Linked DNA regions of Macaca fascicularis. The protein of the gene in region 2 purifies or fractionates together with the protein of the main gene of each other region. This does not show direct contact. Links are inferred from orthologs where the notes say so. Each region holds a gene or a part of one and is shown on either strand. Other genes may lie near its edges.

Evidence for each region.
Region 1: the proteins of POLR2C (region 2) and MED9 purify together in Homo sapiens (affinity purification with mass spectrometry; 3 studies listed by BioGRID and IntAct, with this or other methods). This does not show direct contact. The link is inferred for Macaca fascicularis from reciprocal best matches to the Homo sapiens genes POLR2C and MED9.
Region 3: the proteins of POLR2C (region 2) and MED26 purify together in Homo sapiens (affinity purification with mass spectrometry; 3 studies listed by BioGRID and IntAct, with this or other methods). This does not show direct contact. The link is inferred for Macaca fascicularis from reciprocal best matches to the Homo sapiens genes POLR2C and MED26.

Annotation. Positions count from the first base shown.
Region 1 is NC_088390.1:17,575,748-17,582,696, forward strand, and holds the start of MED9 (mediator of RNA polymerase II transcription subunit 9), read left to right. Parts: upstream 1-2,943; 5' UTR 2,944-2,977; coding exon 2,978-3,201; intron 3,202-6,949.
Region 2 is NC_088394.1:53,564,675-53,571,520, reverse strand, and holds part of POLR2C (DNA-directed RNA polymerase II subunit RPB3), read right to left. Parts: intron 5,359-6,846; coding exon 5,290-5,358; intron 5,144-5,289; coding exon 5,091-5,143; intron 1,938-5,090; coding exon 1,809-1,937; intron 1,386-1,808; coding exon 1,334-1,385; intron 1,134-1,333; coding exon 965-1,133; intron 815-964; coding exon 740-814; intron 118-739; coding exon 1-117. UniProt on the Homo sapiens protein: Core component of RNA polymerase II (Pol II), a DNA-dependent RNA polymerase which synthesizes mRNA precursors and many functional non-coding RNAs using the four ribonucleoside triphosphates as substrates.
Region 3 is NC_088393.1:16,960,457-16,967,409, forward strand, and holds the start of MED26 (mediator of RNA polymerase II transcription subunit 26), read right to left. Parts: upstream 4,479-6,953; 5' UTR 4,222-4,478; coding exon 4,150-4,221; intron 1-4,149. UniProt on the Homo sapiens protein: Component of the Mediator complex, a coactivator involved in the regulated transcription of nearly all RNA polymerase II-dependent genes.

The DNA.
Region 1 (6,949 bases), on a different chromosome or scaffold from region 2:
TTACAGACATAAGCCACCACACCTGACCTGTTGTCTTATTTTTCAATATGGCTGCTAGAAAACTGAACACAGCCTCTGTGGCTTGCGTGTTTGGCTTACATTTTTATCAAAGTGCAGCGATGTGGATCATTCCTCTTAGCTGCAGTCTGTCTGGGTTTTGTTAGTTGGCGAAGTAAGAAGCCCTAAAACTGAATAGTAAGAAGAATTACTATTTACTGTGCACAGATACTTACTCTAAGTGCTTTACAAGTAATGACCCATTCAGTCTTGTGAGATGGCATGGCTGCATGAAGTGAGGTTAAGCAATTGTCCAGTCATGAAGCTCCAAGGAGGCTGAGTTGAGGCTGAAGTCAGGCTGCTGGCTCCAAAGCCTGACCTTGTAACCACTAACTGGACAAGGCCCCGTGAGACACGGCATAAATCCACCTAAGAAAGCAATGACCTTAGAGCTTACCTTGTGGTGGGGCGAAGTTTCCTTCACTACAATACATTCTCCTTACATATCAATGGAGTGTCTGTCTTTCCTGACTTTTAACAGAGCAGGTTATAAACAGACACACATTTGTTGCAGCAATTTCAGCTTTAATGAAACCAGCACAGGCAGTATTTTTCTGATATCCGCTTGCAACATTATGAAGTCAGCTTTACTCTTTGCCACTAATTATATTAACTATTTTTAGGGCAAACTGTCAATGCACCATACTGGTTCATGCTTCCTAGGTTTTCAATTTATTTTCTTTAGCCATATCTATTTATACCTCAAGTGTTTTTCTTTTAAGAGTCATCCTCATTTTCCTGACAACGATATAGTTGTGGCTCATAATTAAGTTATAAAACATGCTGGGAGGCCAACGATGACGTGTGATTGCCATGGGGGATATTATTGATGAATATTGGATTGGTTTTTGAATTCTGAATTCAAACCCACTTTAACATTTTGAATCATAAAGTTACAGAACTGGTAGGGACCCGAAGTCTCTTTAGCGTTGGTTAAGATCATAGGCTTGGAGTCAGCAAGCAGCGTGGACCCTTAGGCTGGGATCTTAACCATTGTAAGTCTTAGTTTTCTTGTCTAGAAAATGGGGATCCTGACATCCATGTTCTAGACCTCTTTTTGTGGATTGAGACAGTGACTGTAACTCTGTTCCCTGTATCTACTTTTATTCCATGGTAGTTGTGGTAATTACTATTATTATTATTATTACTATTACTATATTATCTTTCCCCAGATGACTCTAAGGGTATACAGTCTCTTCAAGCACATCTGGCCCTATTCTAACAGGCCTTTTTCTCCTCCATGCTCTACCAGAACTCCTGGACTTTCCCTTAGTTGGAGAGGTTCATGGTTAGAAGGAAGAAAACCCTGCAACCCACTGCCTCCCTTTGCTCTCTCTCTGGGGCATCGTGGGCAGCTCTTGCTGCAGAGAGCTGTGCTGAGGCCCTTTACCTGTACAGCGGACCCTCCAACAGCACTTCTGTCTATGGTCCTACTGGGCAAGGATCTGCCTCCACACAGCCCTCCCAATGTGCCTGAAAATATCAGCAGTGATCCTTTCCCTGGCCACCTTGCTCTTAAGGCTCCTGTTCATAGTACTATGTGGATGTGGACCTCCTCGCCTCTCTGCACTGCCCATGATGGTGGATTACAGCAGAATGGGCTCGCCAGTTGACAGCTTTCCCCACTCATGTCTTCTAACTAGCTAAGCTTAGGGTGGCTGTCCCCATTGCGCAGAAAATTGCTACTTAGCCCTCATAGCAAACTTGTTTTGAGAAGCATAACCATAAACCCATCTTTGGCCTATGATCCTAGGGAGTCCTCATGCCAACAAGACCTTTTGGGGTCAGCCACGAATGTGAAGTTAGAATGCAGTTTAGGCTCTGCCATGACTCTGAACTAAATATGATTTTAGGGGTGAGGAAACTGGGACCTAGGGGTTTGAGGAACTGGCCCGAAGGTATGGAGCGTACCTGACTTTGTCGTTCTTCCAGGATATGATATTTATTCCTGGCACGAATCCCCTCTACCTTGTATTGAAAGCAAGGACAGCCTCCCTGCAACCACACATTACACCTGGCCATCCAGCAGGTGCATACTAAAAGTGTGTTGAGTTGAATTATCAGACTCTCAGCAGCCATGCAGCACTGAAGGGACCGCAATCCCTTTGCCTCTGCGTCCTTAGGGCTAAGCAGGAGGTCTCGATGTCTCGCACTGTGGGCCGGGCCGGGTTTGGTGCCTCAGCCAGCAGGTAAGTGCTGTCTACGCCTCCTGCAGGTCCAGTGGTTCCTCTCCAGACTTGGGTGCACTGGGCCAGGCTGCGCCTTACTGACCTCAAGGCTTCCTGTGTTTGTGGCTTTGGGGCCCTCTTCATCGTGTGAATAGGAATAAGAAGATTGTTATTTATGGCCAGGTGCGGTGGCTTGCGCCTGTAATCTCAGCACTTTGGGAGGCCGAGGAGGGCGGATCACCTGAGGTGGGGCGTTCGAAACCAGCTTGATCAACATGAAGAAACCCCGTCTCTACTAATAATACAAAATTAGCCGGGCGTGGTGGTGTATGCCTGTAATCCCAGCTACTTGGGAGGCTGAGGGAGGAGAATCACTTGAACCCGGGAGGCGGAGGTTGCTTTGAGCCGAGATCACGCCACTGCACTCCAGCCTGGGCAACAAGAGCGAAACTCCGTCTCAAAAAAAAAAATTGTTATTTCTGAAATAAATCCCCTATTTCTCACTATTTAATAATATTTAAATAATTTTGGGTCTTGACTCAACCCAAAACCAGGCACCCCAGACCCACCCACGGCCCGTCGCCTAGCAACAGTCTCCCCACCCCGCCTCCGCCCCGTTGCCGGCCGAGTGCCCAGTGCGCATGCTCAGAGCCTTCCTCCACGCTGCGCCCCTGCAGGGCGCGCGGTGGTGACGTATAGAGTTCGCGACGCTGTCGGCGACCCGACCTCTGGGTTAACCTAACCCCGGAGCCATGGCCTCTGCTGGGGTGGCAGCCGGGCGACAGGCGGAGGATGCATTGCCGCCAACGTCCGACCAGCCGCTGCCTGACACCAAGCCGCTGCCGCCCCCTCAGCCGCCGCCTGTCCCTGCGCCTCAGCCGCAGCAGTCGCCGGCGCCACGGCCTCAGTCACCTGCCCGCGCGAGGGAGGAAGAGAACTACTCCTTTTTACCTTTGGTTCACAGCATCATCAAATGGTAAGAACCTAGGAGAGGACCAGGCCCCATACTCCCTCCAGCTTCTCGTCTCAGCCGTTTCAGAGCTTCAAGAGGCCTTGGCGCTCTAGGGCACGCCCCCGTTTCGCAGATGGGGAAACTCAGACCCAGAGCGGGAAGAGGCCTTTCCCAAGACCACAGAGACATTCCATGAGTTAAGCAAACGATTTGAGCCCCGAGAGGTGCGATATCCTTAAGAATGAAGCCAGCTTAGAGACTACATACAGACTCTTGTCCAGCGGCTCAAACGTGCATCCCATCGATCTTGAGCAAATTAAATCTCTTTAAGCCTCAGTTTTCTCACCTTTAATGTTAGTAATACTCACTTTAGTTCCTTATTTCAACAGACTCAACAGATAAGCATCATCTTCCCTGTGTGGGACACTGCCAAGTGCTATGGGATGGACACAGTAAAAGGGGCATAGAAGGAAAAAAAAGACATGATTGGGAATAACCCATAATTCAAAAAGATTGAGAGGGGAGCGGTGGCGATGGGAAATATTAGACTAAGCAAAAACACAGAAGTTGCCTGAGATGATTAGACCCACCTGTACTGACTTTGTTCTAACAGTACCAAAGGAGATAATTGTCATCCTTTTGGCCAGCCTTTAGGGTAGCCTGAGTTTTCAAAGTGACTCTGTAAAGGAAAAACCAAAAACAAAAGCACGAAAGTCTTACTGATCCCCGTGTTTGCCTAAATTATTATACTGATCCCCGTGTTTGCCTAAATTATTATTTTTTTTGAGACAGGGTCTCGCTCTGTCACCCGGACTGGAGTACATTGGCGTGATCTCGTCTCACTGCAGCCTCAACCTCCAGGCCTCAAGCCATCCTCCCACCTCAGCCTCCCAAGTAACCGGAACCACAGGCATGAGCCACAGCACCCAGCGAATTTTTGTACTTTTTGTAGAGATGGAATTTAGTCGTGTTGCCTAGGCTGTAAATTATTTTCATTATGTTACTTCACTCTATATCCACGTGATAGTAGGTGTAAACCCTTAGGCTTATAACTCTTATTCAGCCATTAAAGACCACAAAGTAAATTAAAAGAAAATTACGAATCCAGTAACATTCAGGTGAACATGAATGTGCTCTTCACTGTTTTACTGAAACGGAATTGTTACAACGTGAAGGTCTTGACCGTTAGTGGCCCACCCACTTTTGAGTTTAAGCAAACTAGATTCACTTGCTGTGGGATGACCTGATGCTCTTCTGCCACTTTTCAAATAACTACAAAGGCTTTGTTCTCACATTAGACCCTGGCTTCATTTGGCTTCACTTGGTGTTTACTGTTTATAAGGGCCGGGCGTGGTGTCTCATGCCTGTAATCCAAGCACTTTGGGAGGCCAAGGCAGGCGGATCACGAGGTCAGGAGTTTGAGACCAGCCTGGCCAACATGGTGAAACCCTGTCTCTTACTAAAAACAAAAATTAGCCAGGTGTGGTGGTGGGTGCCTGTAATCCCAGCTAATCGGGAGGCTGAGGCGGGAGAATCACTTGAACCTGGGAGGTGGAGGTTGTATTGAGCCGAGATCATGCCATTGCACTCCAGCCTGGGCAACAAGAGCAAGACTCTGTCTCAAAAATAAATAAATAAATAAATTTAAAAAAATGTTTCTGGGATAAGACAGCCTGTTCAGTTTTTGTGAGCCTGTGATAATGATCACAGACAGAAATACATATGGAGCCCCTATAATCCCAGGGCAGTGCCGGATTATAAAGGGTTTAGTCAGATTAACCCCAGTTTACTGGTTTTAAGAAAAATGTGGAAAAAGGAAAACACAAAATGTACACATTCACAAAGACAGCTCTTGAACCCCCCAAGAGTATATTCTTGAGCCCTGGTAAAGCAGCTGGATTGGGCTGGCCTTAAAGATGTAGTAGTAAGTTATACTACAGAGAAGAGGCTTTGAAGTTAGACAGTCCTGAGTTCAAATCTGTATACTGACATTTTCATGCCTTCTAATATTGATATAAATGTCTAACCTTTCTAGGCCATAATCTTCTTATCTCTAATATGTCCATAGTGGACCTCAAAAGATAGGTTTAGATTATGTAATAGCTCTATAATGTGCTGACTGGGTGACCTGGGCAAGTAGCTTAGCTTCTCTGAGCCTGTTTTTCTCTTATGAAATGGGAATGCTTATGTCATAGGATTGTTGGGAGATGTACTCAAGAGCGTACCTGTGAAACCTAGTGGGCTGATCACATGTGCTTGTCTCTGTTTCGTCTAAAGGGACACAGAAGGGACTTAAAAAAAAAATACATAAAACCTTCAGACGCAGTGGCTCATGCCTGTAATCCCAACACTTTAGGAGGCTGAGGTGAGCTGGTCGCTTGAGCCTGGGAGTTCAAGACCAGCCTGGGCAACATGGCAAAACCCCATCCCTACAAAAAATACAAAAAAAAAAAAATTAGCCAGGCGTGGTGTGTGCCTGCAGTCCTGGCTACTTGGAAGGCTGAAGTGGGAGGATCACTTGAACCCAGATCATGCCACTGTACTTTAGCAAGGGTGACAGAACGAGACCCTATCTCAAAAATAAAAAGCATAAAACCGAAAAGAATAGGACAGGAGATGATCGCTACAAAGTGAATGACCAGTGCTAATTCATCTACCAACTCCTAAGCAGCTGGCTTGTTAAACATGGCCTACCCCCAGATCTCAGGAACTCTAGTGCAAGGACCCCCTGGAAATAGGGGTGAAGGTGGGTCTAAGAACAGGATGATTACTTGAAGTCTGTTTAAGAAGCAGTCCTGTCCCACCTCCCATCCCTTCCAAGCGGCCAGGTGACTACCCTTCTTCTAAATTGGTGGGTGGTTAAAAGGTTACTCTCCCAAGATTTATTCTTAGGAACAAATAAGCCAGAGAGTACCTGGACTGGGGGACAACAGGCACACTGCAGGGGTAGGTAGGGGGAATCATAACTGAAAAGAGGGATTAAGAGAAAGTTCGCAGTCTGAAGAGAGACCCCACTCGAGCCTTCCCCCACCTGGCTTCTAGATTGGCAGCCAAAGAGAGTGGAAGTGCCCTCTCTATCGTGTGTGACCAATTAAGAGAAAAGACATTGGAAAAAAAAAAAAAAGCCTAGTCAATTAATTCTGAGAAAATGAACAAGCATCACTCATTTGCAGAGCTTCCACTAAGCCTTTTAATGTTTTATTCTTAAACATATGAGTGGATGGCCAAGGCCACTAAGCATAGGAAGAAACCCCCTGGTAAGAAAGACACGGGTCAGGTGCGGTGCCTCATGTCTGTCTGCAAGCCCAGCACTTGGGGACGCTGAGATGGGAGGATAGCTTGAACCCAGGGAGCTGAGGCTACAGTGAGCCATGATCACACTGCTACATTTCAGCCTGGGTGACATAGACTCTGTCTCAAAGAAGAAAGAAAGAGAGAAAGAGAGGAAAAAAGAGAAAGACAAGACAGAAGAGCAGAAAAAGCCACTTGGAGGGAACAGTAGCTGCAAAGGAATGGAGTGGTTCTGCAGCTGTAAATATGAGAAGAGGCTAGGATCCAACCTGAAAACCTTCAGTATAGGCGTGTCTTTTGAGTTTATAGGCTAATGAGGGAGGAATAAGGGCAGAGGAGGAAGGGAGAGGAGACCACGTGAAGCCTGGGGGAGACAGAAGGCTTGGTGAGATTGATGCCAACATGAGTCTTCAATTAGGAAAGGGAGGCAGGAGGAAGGGTGGTATAGGAAAAACATATAAGGACACGAAGCCAAGAAATA
Region 2 (6,846 bases):
ATCTCGTGGCTTAATTGAGTTTGTAAATCACTCAGTTTCTTCTTCAATCCAGAGAGGGCTGACAGGACAATGGTTTCAGGACGCAGAGAGCCACAGGACTCCACGTTGTAGTAAAACCTAGGAGGCAAGAGTCCAGTGAGTGCCCTGTGAGGCAGGGTGGCCGACCCGAGCTCTGGCCACGGACAACCCTCCCTCCTTCCGGGTCTTGGCTCTGTTCCCACATGGAACTTGACCTTGGGCCAGGGCTGACTTCCTTTCGTCTAAAACCTCTTACATAGGGTAGTTTCAACACACTTTGCACGACTGCAAGGAGGCTACAACTACCTCATAAGGTACCTGTGAAAATCCTAAAGTTCTGTATGTACGCATGCCCCACTGAGGAGAGAGTGGAAAACCAAGTGAGCAGTGACCAGTGACAGCTCTTTCACAGTCACCCCTGTGGAACTTGGGTCCCAATCTCTGCCCCTAGCATTGACCTGAAGGATCTCTTCTTTGGGGGCTGAAAATCAGAATAGGAACAACCTGGATAACTGGAGGTTCCTCTTTGTCACAGTGACCAAAAGGGGGCTGACAGCCTGCCCCGGGATGTGCACATACCACAGGTCTGGTTTAGCAGTCAGCAGCCCTCCTCAGCTTGTGAGAACTACGAGGTCGGGAAGAGGGACGCCTAACTCATGGCCTGAACCAAAACCATCCCTTCTTACACACTTTACCTTCCCATATCCGGGCAGGCTCTTACCTTTCTGGCTTGCCGTTGGGGTCATAGGGAGCCTGCGACTCATCCTCATCCAGCTCTGAGTACTCACTCTTTGGCCTGAGGTCAAACACAGGTCAGCACAACGTTGCCACTGCTGCTTTTGAGGCACCCAAGTTCCTAGAGAGCCTGCCACCTCTCAGTCAGCAGCAGCCATTTCTATGACACACCCACCCCAAATGCCTGCCATCACTCCTAAGGGGAACATACCATTCCTCAGGCTTGGGGTACACTGTGTGCCTCAGGGCATTGTCTGGATCGTATTCAAAAGCCACCCCTGCAGTAGGGTTCCACTTGGCATGCTCCTTGCCAAAGCCCTTTTTGGCATAGGCTCGAAGTCTCAGCTCCTGGCCCTTTCTCAACTTGACGATGAGGATGTCTGCAGGGAGAGGCACAAGTCAGTCAAGGTCCAGGAGAGACATGGTTCTCCAAATTCTGACTTGGAGTGCCACTGCAAGACCACACACATCTGGAAAAATGGGTCTAAAGCCAATTTGCGAGGAGACCAGGCAGCACGAGAGGCTGTGTCTGGTCTCTGCTTCCCGCTGGCCCACAGAGTGACAGATCAGGAAGACTCACCATCCTGCTCCACGTAGTCATTGGGGTCATTATCTCGGTTCCGGGATGTCACCTGTAGGGAGTCCACCAGGCATTCATTAGTTGCTCACCTCCCCAGTCACCTCCTCTGGCATCCATATCCCAGCACTTCTAGACTGCAATCTGTCAATCAGGGAAGGAGCACCTGACGAGGTGGTGGCACAGATGCCCCCAGGACTCCAACCCCACTTCATGGTGTGGTGATGGCCTCAGGCAGAACAATTCCATGGCCTTTAAAAGGGTCCCTGGGTGACAGAGGGTGTGCAGCAGCAACAATGCTAACCATGCAATGATGCCCAAGAAGAATCTAGAATTAGCACTTCTAGGGATCAGATTAAGGCAGAAGGTAACAGGGAATGCCAACATTTGATAAGGATCAACCCCAGTCTAGCCCACCTGGAGCCAGCAAAAGAAGAGAAAAGATCCCAGGGAAAAGAGGCTGCTCTCCTGCACTGACCGGAATGACCCGGGGGCTGTTGGAGATGAGGTCTCGAGAGGTGACATGTCGCGTCTGGTCTTCATTGCACCGCACGTCGAGGGTGAACTCCACTGAGCACTCGGGGCAGAACTCCTCACATGTGCAGTCCTAAGGTAGGAAGAGAAGCAGGAATGAGTTTACAGGGAGATGGCAACTCCTGCCTTGGCTCCTTGTCTTGGTTCCCTGCATCTAATGCCCAGTTCCTTAAGTTTCTTCACCTGTAAAAAGGGGTTCGTCAGTCTCCAGGTTCTTGTGGGCTGTTACAATCTGGTATACCATTCTCATGGACTGCCCAAGTTTAGAGACAACTTATACATACATTGGCACCCACATTTCCTTCCCACTCCCACCAGCTGCAAGGCCACCTCTGGAGACACACTGCTAACATCTCCCTCTGGCTCTTGAACTACTCTTCCTCAGATAACCAAGGCTATGAGGCAGAGGAGGATGCTTTCACACTCTATAGTTCAGCTTCCCAAGAACTAAGAGGACCAGCTTAGGAATGTAACCATCATTTAAAATAAAACCACCAAGGAACAGAAAAAAGTACCTTTCAAGTTCTAGACTACTCACCTTTTCTAAAAAATCCTTTCTATTATGGAAAATTTCATATATAACCACCTTCCATAATTATTAACATTTTGCCATTCTTAAAACAACTGACTCATTCCCAAGTTAGGGACTATTAATTGCAGTTCCACTTCAGGCAAGAAGACAGTTACTAGGATGCAATCAAGCAAGCTGTTCTCTCCCTCACACCAGTGAGGAAAACCCAACATTCTTTTGATGTTTGCATGATAAGGAAGAAGCAGCAGCTAGAGGACCCACCTGGGTCCTCTACAGTCACACACAGGTGAGGTATGAAGGTAACCCAGAACCTTGAGACAGAATCACTTTTAGAAATATGAAATGGGGCTGGGCACAGTGGCTCACACCTGTAATCTCAGCACTTTGGGAGGCTGAGGTGGGAGGATCGCTTGAGTCCAAGAGTTCGAGACTAGCCTGGACAATATGGCAAGACCCTGTCTCTACAAAAAATACAAGAAAATTGTATTTTTTGGGTGTGGTGGTGCACAGCACCTGTAGTTCCAGCTACTTGGGAGGCTGAAGCAGGAGAATCATTTGAGCCCAGAGGCTGAGGTCACAGTGAGCCGAGATCATGCCACTGCACTACAGCCTGGGTGAGAGAGTGAGACCTGTCTGAAAAAACAGAAAAAGAAATATGAAATGGGAGAATCAAAATGTAATGGAAGATAAAAATATGAAAAGATATTCAACCTAAAAAAATGTACTGAGGCCGGGCGCGGTGGCTCACACCTGTAATCCCAGCACTTTGGGAGGCTGAGGCGGGTGAATCAAGAGGACAGGAGATCGAGACCATCTGGGCTAACACAGTGAAACCCCATCTCTACTAAAAATACAAAAAAATTAGCCGGGCGTGGTGGCAGGCGCCTGTAGTCCCAGCTACTCGGGAGGCTGAGGCAGGAGAATGGCGTGAACCTAGGAGGCGGAGCTTGCAGTGAGCTGAGATAGTGCCACTGCACTCCAGCCTGGGCGACAGAGTGAGACTCCATCTCAAAAAAAAAAAAAAATGTACTGAAAGGAGAGGAGTCTGTTTGAGATGAAAAGAGATTAAAGTGCTATAAGGACCAAATGAATCTTGACTGGATCAAGACTGACCCACAAACAAACAGAAAAGCAATAAAGGACATTTGGGGAAAAACTAGGAAAATTTGAATATTGATATTACAGATTAATGCTAACCTTCTTAGGCACAATAAAAGTGTGGTTATGTAGTAGGAAACTATTCTTATTAGGAAATGCATGCTGAAGTATTTAGAAGTGTTAGGATGTCTGCAACTTTCACACAGTTCAGCAAAAATAGCAACATGCATATGAAAAATAAAGCAAATGTAAAATATTAATAATTGGTAACTATAGGTGAAAAGTAAAAGGGTATTTATTATTCTAGAAAAAGCCAGAGAGAGAGACCATGCCATCTTTGTTCAATAAATACTAGAAAAAATTTTAATGAAAGGAACTGCTAGGTGATAGAGCATGCATCTCTTTATGTAAGATGTCACCAAATTGCTCTTAATTGGTTGTACAACTGTCCCCACCAATATCTCTGTTTTATTTCTTAAAAAACAAAAATCTGGAGATCTGAAACAAATAGGGCAAAATGTTAAAATGTGACAACTTAGTATTAGGTGGAAGCATGGGTATTTATTACACTAGCTCCATGCTTTTCTATGCTTGAATTTTTTTTTTTTCTTGAGACGGAGTCTTGCTCTGTCACCCAGGCTGGAGTGCAGTGGTGCGATCTCAGCTCACTGCAAGCTCTGCCTCCTGGGTTCACGCCATTCTCCTGCCTCAGCTTCCCAAGTAACTGGGACTACAGGCACGTGCCACCACACTCGGCTAATTTTTTGTATTTTTAGTAGAGATGGGGTTTCACTGTGTTAGCCAGGATGGTCTCGATCTCCTGACCTTGTGATCCACCCGCCTTGGCCTCCCACAGTGCTGGGATTACAGGCGTGAGCCACCGCATGCAGCCGAATATTTCTTTTAAAAAAAATACATATTTATAAGATATATCATAGCCATCACAAAAATGACATGGCCCTTGAGAATATTAGAAAATGGACTGATTCTGGATCACCCAAAGCCATCAAGAGGGAGTAGTCTTACGCTGCTATGTAATGCAGCCTAGTGAAAGGATGAAGGTAACCTACTACTATCCCACTCTCTCCAAACTATGAAGGCCTGTTAACATGCCATCAGGGAGCAAACACGACCAGGAGGAAGGGGGTAAGAGTGTGGCCATGTTTAAGCAGCATCACTTACGAGTGAGGGGACAGCACGAATCTGCAGACACCAGGACTAGTTCCCCAGAAGCTGCTCTTATGAGACAGCTCCCATTCCCTCTGCTCCTTGCCTACCCCAACCTTCTGTTGACTCCTGTAGCATCCTAAGGCCCCTGCTACTGGGAAGAGACGCTTTGGAAGGAAGAACCTCCACTGTAAACAGGCAATCTGGTGGAGCTGGCTAACAACATTTCCTGATGTTCTGCATGCTAATCAATCTGAAGCCCCATCAGAACCAAGGATCAAGGCCTGCCCAGGCTCTAGACAACATCTCCACATTGTTGTTCCAGACCTACAATACTACTCAAGCTGGATGCCAAATGTCAGGAAAAATCCCTTTGAGACCCAAGGCCTCCCCACCAAACCTCACATTCCACCCAATCACACAGCATACCCGGGAGTACTGCAGCTTGTCCACAATGTCATCACTAATGAGGGGAATTAATCCTGTAAAAAACAGAAAAGCACTTTAAAGAAAACCAAACAGCCAAGCCAAAATGAGAACCCAGAAGCCTCCGGGGAGTGAGGCTGGAAGGAAGCCCCCTCCTGACACTAGGCACAGTACCCTCCCTTCTAATAAAAGGAGTACTCACCAAGCCTGTGAGCGATGAACTCATCATGAAGGACTGAGGAATTGGCATCAATCTGAACCCAGTCAATGGCTACAAAATGAAAGAAGCAGACATGGAGTTTAGCCATCAAATTTACCTAGAGACTTAATGCAGTGGTTCTCAAGATTTAGGAATCACCTGACACTAAACTGCAGAGGCTGGGCTGATTCCACAGCACTAGAGTGGGGCCCAGGAACTTGCATTTTAATAAGAGCCACACACACCACACACCTCACCTCCCTGCCCAGGTGATTTAACGCAGGGGGCTCCCTGCTTCACAGAAAACACTGACTCAGAGAATATCATGGGAGTGGAAACATGTTTATTTGAGCTGAGTATTTCCATGAGAAGCACTTAAATCTGCTACCTGTGCCACCACCAAATCCAAGAACATGAACTATTTGAGCACTTCAAAGTCAGGGAAAACCTCACAGAAGTAACACAGACTTATGGGCCATACCTATATTTTAGGATATAATGACTGGACTGCCCAACTTAGCACTTTTTAAACATTCAACCAACAGACTTTTACTGAATTCCTTTAACGCACAAAGCATACTAAATATAGAACCCAATCCCTAGCAGCAATGAGCAGGTAGGAGGGTAAAGACGGTATTATCTATCACACACGCTTGACTTAAACACATATTTATTCATTCATAAACATTTGCATGGAACCAACTAAATCCAGGAATCAAATGGCATTGGAGCCCAACTGCCAAATGAGGGACACAGACACTAGGAACAGAGGTCGGAAGAGGACCTCCACATGCTAGGCCTCCACCTACTCTGTCCTGCTATGCTTCCCATTGCTTCCCCAGTCCAAGCCAACTAAGAGAACCCTGACCCAAGCTTTTCTGCCTCTTTAATCCCCCGGCCCCTTCCTCCAGCACACCCTTCCCCTCCTCACTGTACAGGTTAAGATCCTCTGTGCCTCCTAAAAACTAAGCCTTGCCTGCCCTCTATGCTACAGGTGTGGCACTCCCTCTCTTTCACCTCCTCTCTCACGAAACTCTCTTCAGACTTCCCTGAAGACACTTGTCATAGTGTGCCTTGTGTCACATTTGTGTATGTTATGTCTATACCCCAAGCTTCAGAAATTCCTTCAGGCAGGTGCTGGGATGTCTTTGTATTCCTAGCTTGGGTGCTCAACATTATTTGTAGAACTGAATTTGTGGGGAAAGAGGCATTTAGACTCAGAATGGCAGGGCTGCATCATGAAGTACAACTCCCTCACCTGACTCTTGATGAAACTGAGGTCCAGAGACATGAAGTGATTAGTCAGGGGGAGGTCCAGCACTCCAAGCTGAATTGAAGAAGTGACTGGGGGGCCGGGGGTGGTAGTGGATAAACTACAACGTTCTCTTGCCTAATCATTTGGCTTGCTTATTTCCTTAAAAGTCTAAATATTTGATGCCACATATTTCTTTTGCCTAACCCAAACTCTCTGGACCTGACTCTCGGAAATGCTTGAAGTATTTCATACAAGTATAATCAATGCATTAAGCACCTGGAGCAAAGTGGCTGGAACCAGACCAG
Region 3 (6,953 bases), on a different chromosome or scaffold from region 2:
TCCATCTTTCAAGACAGCGTGGTGGTGTTCAGAGTTGGAAGGACTCTAAGGACTGTCACTTAATGACTCTGGGTAAGTCCCTAACTTTGGTTCCACCACCTCCCATTAAGTCAGTAAGAAACAAAAGCATTTTGTCCTCTGCTTGCCCCAGGAGACACCACTGAGCAGCACCTACTACCTGATGCTGCTGGCTTCTGCACCTGCGAAAGGGGAGACTGGCTCTCCCACTCACAAGGCTGTTGGGAGGAAGCAGAACTCTCTGACGGGTGCCACACAAACTAACAAAGCATACACCTTGGTTTAGAATTTTGTTAGCTGAGAAACTTCAAACAATGTACCTTGCAAAGATATATTAAAAACAAAACAAAACAAAACAAAAAACCCTTCTAGAACAATTGACATTAGACTCTGCTGTCCCTTCCAGGATCTGAACTTAGATCTGGAAGGAGGTTTATGGGGTGCATACACCCGTTCCCAATCCCACCCTGTGGACAAGAAATCTGCAGGAAAGTCAAGGTAAGCAACATCCAACCTTCCAATTCTTAGGTGGGAAAATTATCTTTCTTGCTGGGTCTCTCTGCAGCGTGCCTTGGTCACCTCCCCCTTGGTCTCTGTTGCCTGAAGAGCTGTAAGAAAGCAAGCAGCTCCCAAGGACGTTTCCCACTCAGAGCCTGACAGCTGGAGGCACTGACACAAGCAGCCAGGGCTAGTTCAAGTCCCTCTTTGCTGCAGGACCTTCTCAGGCCTCTCCCTGCTCTGAACACAGGACATTCACCTGCAGTTAGCAAGCCCTGCCCTGTGCTGTTATTTTATTTGTCATGAGGATGCAGTACACCGTCTACTATCTGTTGGACCTTTCCTCTAAAAGCTAAGTTTGTTAATCATCACTTAACATCCATATTCCTCACAGTTCTACTGAGTAGCGTCTCAAGTCACCTGTGACTCCTTCCCTCTCCAAAGTTCTGCATTAGAATATTCCACGACTGTACTTTTGGGCATAAAGCAGTTACAAAGGCTTCCTAGTAAAATGGGGTTCACATGTAGCTCCTCAGGCACAGGTCCAAGATGGATGCTAGGGTTCAGTCAGTTTAAGCAGCAGATAGAAAGTGTGCCAAATGCTTCTGCTCTAGAGGGAGAAGACAAGACATGAAACATCCCAAGAAGCTTGTGTGCCGCACAGGAAGATAAAGCTCGTACCTCCACAAAACAAAGAGTGTCCCAGGCAGATGGGAACCGAATCACCTGCTGAGGAGACTGCTCACTACGACTGCTGTGCGAGAGTAAGACACAGTCCTTCACTTTACCCACAATGCAGCGAGAGTAAGCTGGAACAATCATGCACACACTGCGCTTCGGAGAGATTTTCAACACCCTGGGCTGAAAGGGTGCACAACGAAAAGAAAAGCTCCGACTGCTCTGAAAAACCGTTAGTAGCCTTTTGAAAAGGAGAGTAGAGGATTTACTTTATTACTGAATTGGCAGAAATTATTAACTCTGAGCCTGCTGCTATAGGAATTCAAATGCATACTCCAGGGGCTAAAAGAGCACAGAAACAACTTTCCTCGTAAGAATTTCTTTGTCAAGGAGATGGTTGGTAAACACGACTTCGTCACTTCCCTAACTTTCCAGATACTTTTGGATATTAGGTCAGTTCCTGACACTGATTTTGCAAGCAATAGCTAAGTTTGTTAACCATAATTGCATGCCCATAAAGGTAAGCATTACATGACACAATTCTCTGCCGCTTCTCTCAGAAGAGGTTTAATTTTAGTGTTGGCTCTTCAACACTGTCCCCGTTTTTTTTTTTTTTTTCCACGAGCATCTTAAATATGTGTCAACTAAATATCCAGTAGTGGAATTCATCATTGGGCAGGGCAGAGAGGAGAGACCGGCACACCGGCAGCACCTGTGCTGGAGCCACCTGCTCTCACCTGAGCCCACATTGATCCGAGAGAAACTGCAGACACACTGACATGCCCAGCTCTCACCACCACCTCCGCCAGCAAACCCCGTCCACTGCAGCTCTGTTTCTGCATGGTGTTTGCTCAAAGCGAACGGTCCTGTCAAACGGCCCATAACAGCGCTCAGAGGATCAATCACAAAGGAGGCACTTTCCTCATTGCTCATAATCAAGAAGATAATTTCCCAAATCCATCCACCCCATGTTAGTAGGACTCTGCCCAAGATCATCACCAAAGTCCTTGAAAATAAGCGATATGAAATGCAAATTCCATGTCAGGTAACATAACCAGGGACCTATATAACATTTCTGCATGAGCTGAGACACACAAAACTAAGATTTGTTCCGTCCTCTTTTCTTCTGCCTCAAGGAACCCTTTTGATTAGAGCCTTACACAATACTGGAAACTGTGAGGTCACTGGAGTGACCTAATCTACAACACTGTGATCGCCTGTCAAAGTGCCGCCTGATCCCAAAGCTCTCTGAGGTGGCATTAAGGATCAGTGCTAATATCTCAGCAACCTCTCAGACTCTCCAGAAGGAAAGCGAGTGCGTGAAATTCAAAAAATTACCTTCTGGCTCCACAAAAGATGTACAAGTCACCAAGGCTATTTTTTTCATGTCACTAGTTTTATCCTCTAATATTTCAATCTTAAAATTGCAGTGGCACCAGTTACTGCAAAAAGGACATTCGAGAAGGTTTTATATAGCTTGTGCCCACTCCACCCCCAAAGTCATAACAAAAATGTATAATATAACATTTGTTAAAGACAATTACCATCAAGTCAATGTTAATGGGACCTGAATACCAGGGATAAGAGAAGTACTTATATCACAGCAAAAACAGGGCCTTAGAAAAAAACTCATAACCCTTCAATCTTACCAAAAATTGTATAAGTCAACGTGAATTATTCCAAAAACATCATCAGAGTTAAGCATACTGCTAAGAGTAATCAGCCAAGCTCATGTAAAACTACAAGTAAAAACCCCTACGGTGAGAGAAACCTGAGTTACCTGGCCAAGCCAAAGATGATTTTTTTCTTCCATTCACAGCATATTAAAAAGTGATCTCAATGGCCACTTCCTGGGAAGCAGGGCCTCACTTCATACCTGGATGCTACTGCATCTTCCCACCGCCCTGCTCCTGCCGCGGGAAGTATGACCCCTACTGCCAAGAAACTCTTGGAGAAAATATGAGAATAGATCAGTCTTCCCACCCCCACCCCACCCCCGCAACAACACACATACACACACACAGATACACAGCCACACATACGGAGGGGGAAGGGGCGGTCCCTCCGCCAACAGTAGCCTCAGCAAAGGGGCACCCGAGGAAGCGACACCCTGGAGTTAACCCTGACAGTCTGGGTCAATAGCCACCAGGCTGAGACCCCCAGGTGAGGGAAAGAGCCTACTGAAACAGGGCTCTTGGGTAAACGGGAGAGAAAAGTCCTCTTTAATTCACTACCCAAAAAAATGGAGCTCTGGCTTGGTCAGAGACGCAATGGGTACTGAGGCCCAGAAAGGCAACAGGAAGGATCCCACCCTCCCCGAAATCATCTGTCGCTGGCAGCGACCCCAAGAGGGTTTTGGCGAAGGCGTGTCCAGTCACAGAAGGGAGACAGACTCTCCACGTACCCTGGGTACCCGGCCAGGGGCAAAACACACTGGGGGTTCTCTCCGAAGCCAGGAAGGTGCTGCCAGCCGGGAGGAGGGGGAAGGACTTCTCTCATAACCCAGAAGGCTAAGACATGGGAGACACAGGCTCCCCGAGTCATACCCCGGACACCAGTTGCTTCACAGCCCTTCTCCCTCCCCTCCCCCGCTCCGGGAGGGCTTCCCGGGGGTCTCAGGTCCCGGAGGGAGGGCGATGCAGGGCAGCTTCGTCCAGAGCAGTGAGGGTCATAGAGCTGGAGCAGAAAGGGGAGATAAACTCTACCCTTAGCCCCCCGTCTGCTTCCTCCGCCCAGGCCGCACGGAAGCCTCGGCCTCACGTACCAAGCGCTGCCGGGCTGCCCGACCTGCCCCCGGCCCGGGCCCGAGGAGTGAGAGGCAGAGATGGCAGCGGCCCTCGAGGGGAGGTGGGCGCCAGACGGGTCCCCCGAAGCCCGGTGGGCGAGGGGGACAGGAGAGGGGGAGGGTCCCAGGCCCATGCGGCCTCCGTCCCAGCTCGCGCGGCGGGTACTTACGTTGCTCTGGGGGTCGATGGCCTGCAGCAGCCGGTCCCTGATCTGCTGCGGAGACGCCGGAGCCGCTGTCATTGCCTGGGCGAGGCGGGGGTTGCGGCCGGGCCAGCGGGCGGGCGGGCTGAGGCGGGGGACGGGGGTCACTCACTCGCCGGCCTCCGGGAGCCGGAGCCGCATGTTCCCCGCGGCGCCGGAGGGTTAGGTGCGCGCGGGGTGGCGGAGAGGGGAGCCGGGGCCGGGTCTCGGTCCCGGGCCGCCGCCGCCACCGGAGGAGGAGGAGCCGCCGGAGCCGCCGCCGCTTGCTGCCGCCGCCTCGAGAACCAAACTCCAGTGAGCTGCCCCCGCGCGGAGTACTCTGGGTAGTCCGCGCCGCACGCAGCGTCGGCGCCACGCTGAGGAGGTTGGGAGATGGGACGGGCGGAGACGCCAGGCATGGGCGGGGCTGCCCGTGCGCCCCGCCCCGCGCCTCCGCGCACGCGCGCGCAGGCGCACTCACCCGCCTGTGCCGCCCCGCCCCGCCGCCCGGCCTAGGCAGCCGTTGGGAGGAGGTTGGGCGGGGCAACGGTCGCTGCCTGGAGACCCCGCCCCCGCCCGGGTCGCGGGGCGGGGCTTTCTGACGGAAGCGCGCGCGCAAAGAGTCCTTGAACCCGGACGCTCGCGGCGGCTACCTCAGGGCAGGGAGGGCGGCGGGAAAATCCTTCCTCTAGGAGAGCCTTCCCGGCGCGTGACTGGGGGATGAGAGTCGCAGGCTGAGCAGCTGCCGAAGTTTTTGTGAGGGCGAGGGAAGCAGACGTCCACGTTGTGATTCTGCGCACGGAAGGGTCATCGGAGGAGTCCAGGGGTGTCGCCGCGGCCGCCCCCGCCCCTTAGAGAGTGTGGGAATGGGTGTGGTGACGGGCGGGGGTCTGCATCGCCACGCGCGACCCCGATCGCGAAAACGTGAGGCGGCAAAGAAGCCGCCCCCCGTAGCTGGGAACGCTGGAAAGCCGGAGGTTGCAAATCTGCGTCTACGCCGCGGCTTCTCCACCTCGGCGCCACTGGCATTTGGGCGATATTGCTCTGTCGTTGGGGCGGGTCCCGCGATCTGTCGAAAGTTGAGCGGCATTTCTGGCCTCAGAAGCGCCCCCTCCCCCAGTCTGCAGTCATTGCCGCCATCCCTTGTTGGGGCACAGTCCCCCCGCCCCGCTACCGGCAGAAAACCCCGTGATTGAAAGACCCTTCTACCCGCCTCTGCCTGGAGGTGCTGTAAAACTGAGATGCTCATTCTCTTAACCAAACACGTCACAGGAGGAAACGGAGGCCCAAGGTCACCTAGACTTCGGGGTTAAGCCCAGAACCGCAGGTGTCAAGTTTAAGGGCGCCCCTCCTCCCTCCACCCTACTTATTGCCTTCTGTAATTGCTCCCCTCTCTCTGGGAACTCTGTTGGAAATGCTGTTGTGAGACGGGGTGGAAAGGCAAGCTCGGCGGCCTCGGGAGAAATCTTTTTTTTCCCCACTGTTACAGGAAGACCTAGATTTAAAACAGGAGGAAGACGGCTGATGAGAACCACATGTGTGCCTTGGCGCTGCCTGGCACCTGTTAGTCTTGTATTTGTTGTGCTTCTGGGAAATGTTTTCATTTGCAAAAACGGCTGCTTCTGCACGTGGCTATAGTTGCGTGCTTCTGCACATGTGAAAAGTTTTACATCCACTTGGAGGAGAAAAGAAACACGGGCAAAACACTTGTCATTTACTGCTCCCAACCTCACCCCTCCCAGAATGCGGAGCATTGTGTATATGGTGTACATGGTCCAAGTTGGAAACTGGCCCATTCGGAGATAATTCTTTATCTCATTTCTGATAAGCAAAATAAACAAAGCCTTCCTCAGGCATATTCTGGTCTTGCCTTTCAATTTCTAACTCGGATGTACAGTATCTTTTTTTTTTTTTTTTTTTTAAATAAAGGATTACATAGGAGACAATTTATTTTGCATGGGTCAAGTTATTTTAAGAAACATTTGGGCGGGAGTGGTGGCTCAAGCCTGTAATCCCTGCACTTCAGCAGGCTGACGCGGGTGGATCACTTGAGCTCAGGAGTTCGAGACTAGCCTGGCCAACATGGTGAAACCCCATCTCTACAAAAAATACAAAAATTAGCTGGGCGTGGTGGCGCGCACCTGTAATCTTGGCTACTAGAGGGGGCTGAGGCAGGAGAATTGCTTGAACCCGGGAGGCAGAGGTTGCAGTGAGCCAAGATTGCACCACTGCACTCCGGGCTGGGCAACAGACTCTGTCTCAAATGAACAAAAACAAACAAAATGTGGGGCCAGCCATGGTGGCTTATGCCTGGTAGCTCATGCCTGTAATCCCAGCACTTTGGGAGGCCGAGGTGGGCAGATCACTTGCAGTCAGGAGTTCAAGACCTGCGTGGCCAGAATGGTGAAACCCCTTCTCTACCAAAAAATCAAAAATTAGCCGGGCATGGTGGCACCTGTAATCCCAGCTACTTGGAAGGCTGAGGCAAAAGAATTGTTTGAACCCAGGAGGCAGAGGCTTCAGTGAGCTGAGATCATGCCGCTGTACTCCAACCTGGGTGACAGAGCAAGACTGTCTTGAAAAATAAACATTGGAAAGTACTCAACTTACCTGTTTTTTAAAAACTAAGAAGCATTGACATGACTGAGTTCCTCAAGGGCACTGGCTCTTTTTGGTATCCCCAGTAGACAGAAAAATAATATTTGTGGAGTAAGTCAATGAAAGTTTCATCAAATACACGGTAGTGTTACACACACCCCCAGACACATGAATGCATTTCAGTTTCTACAGAT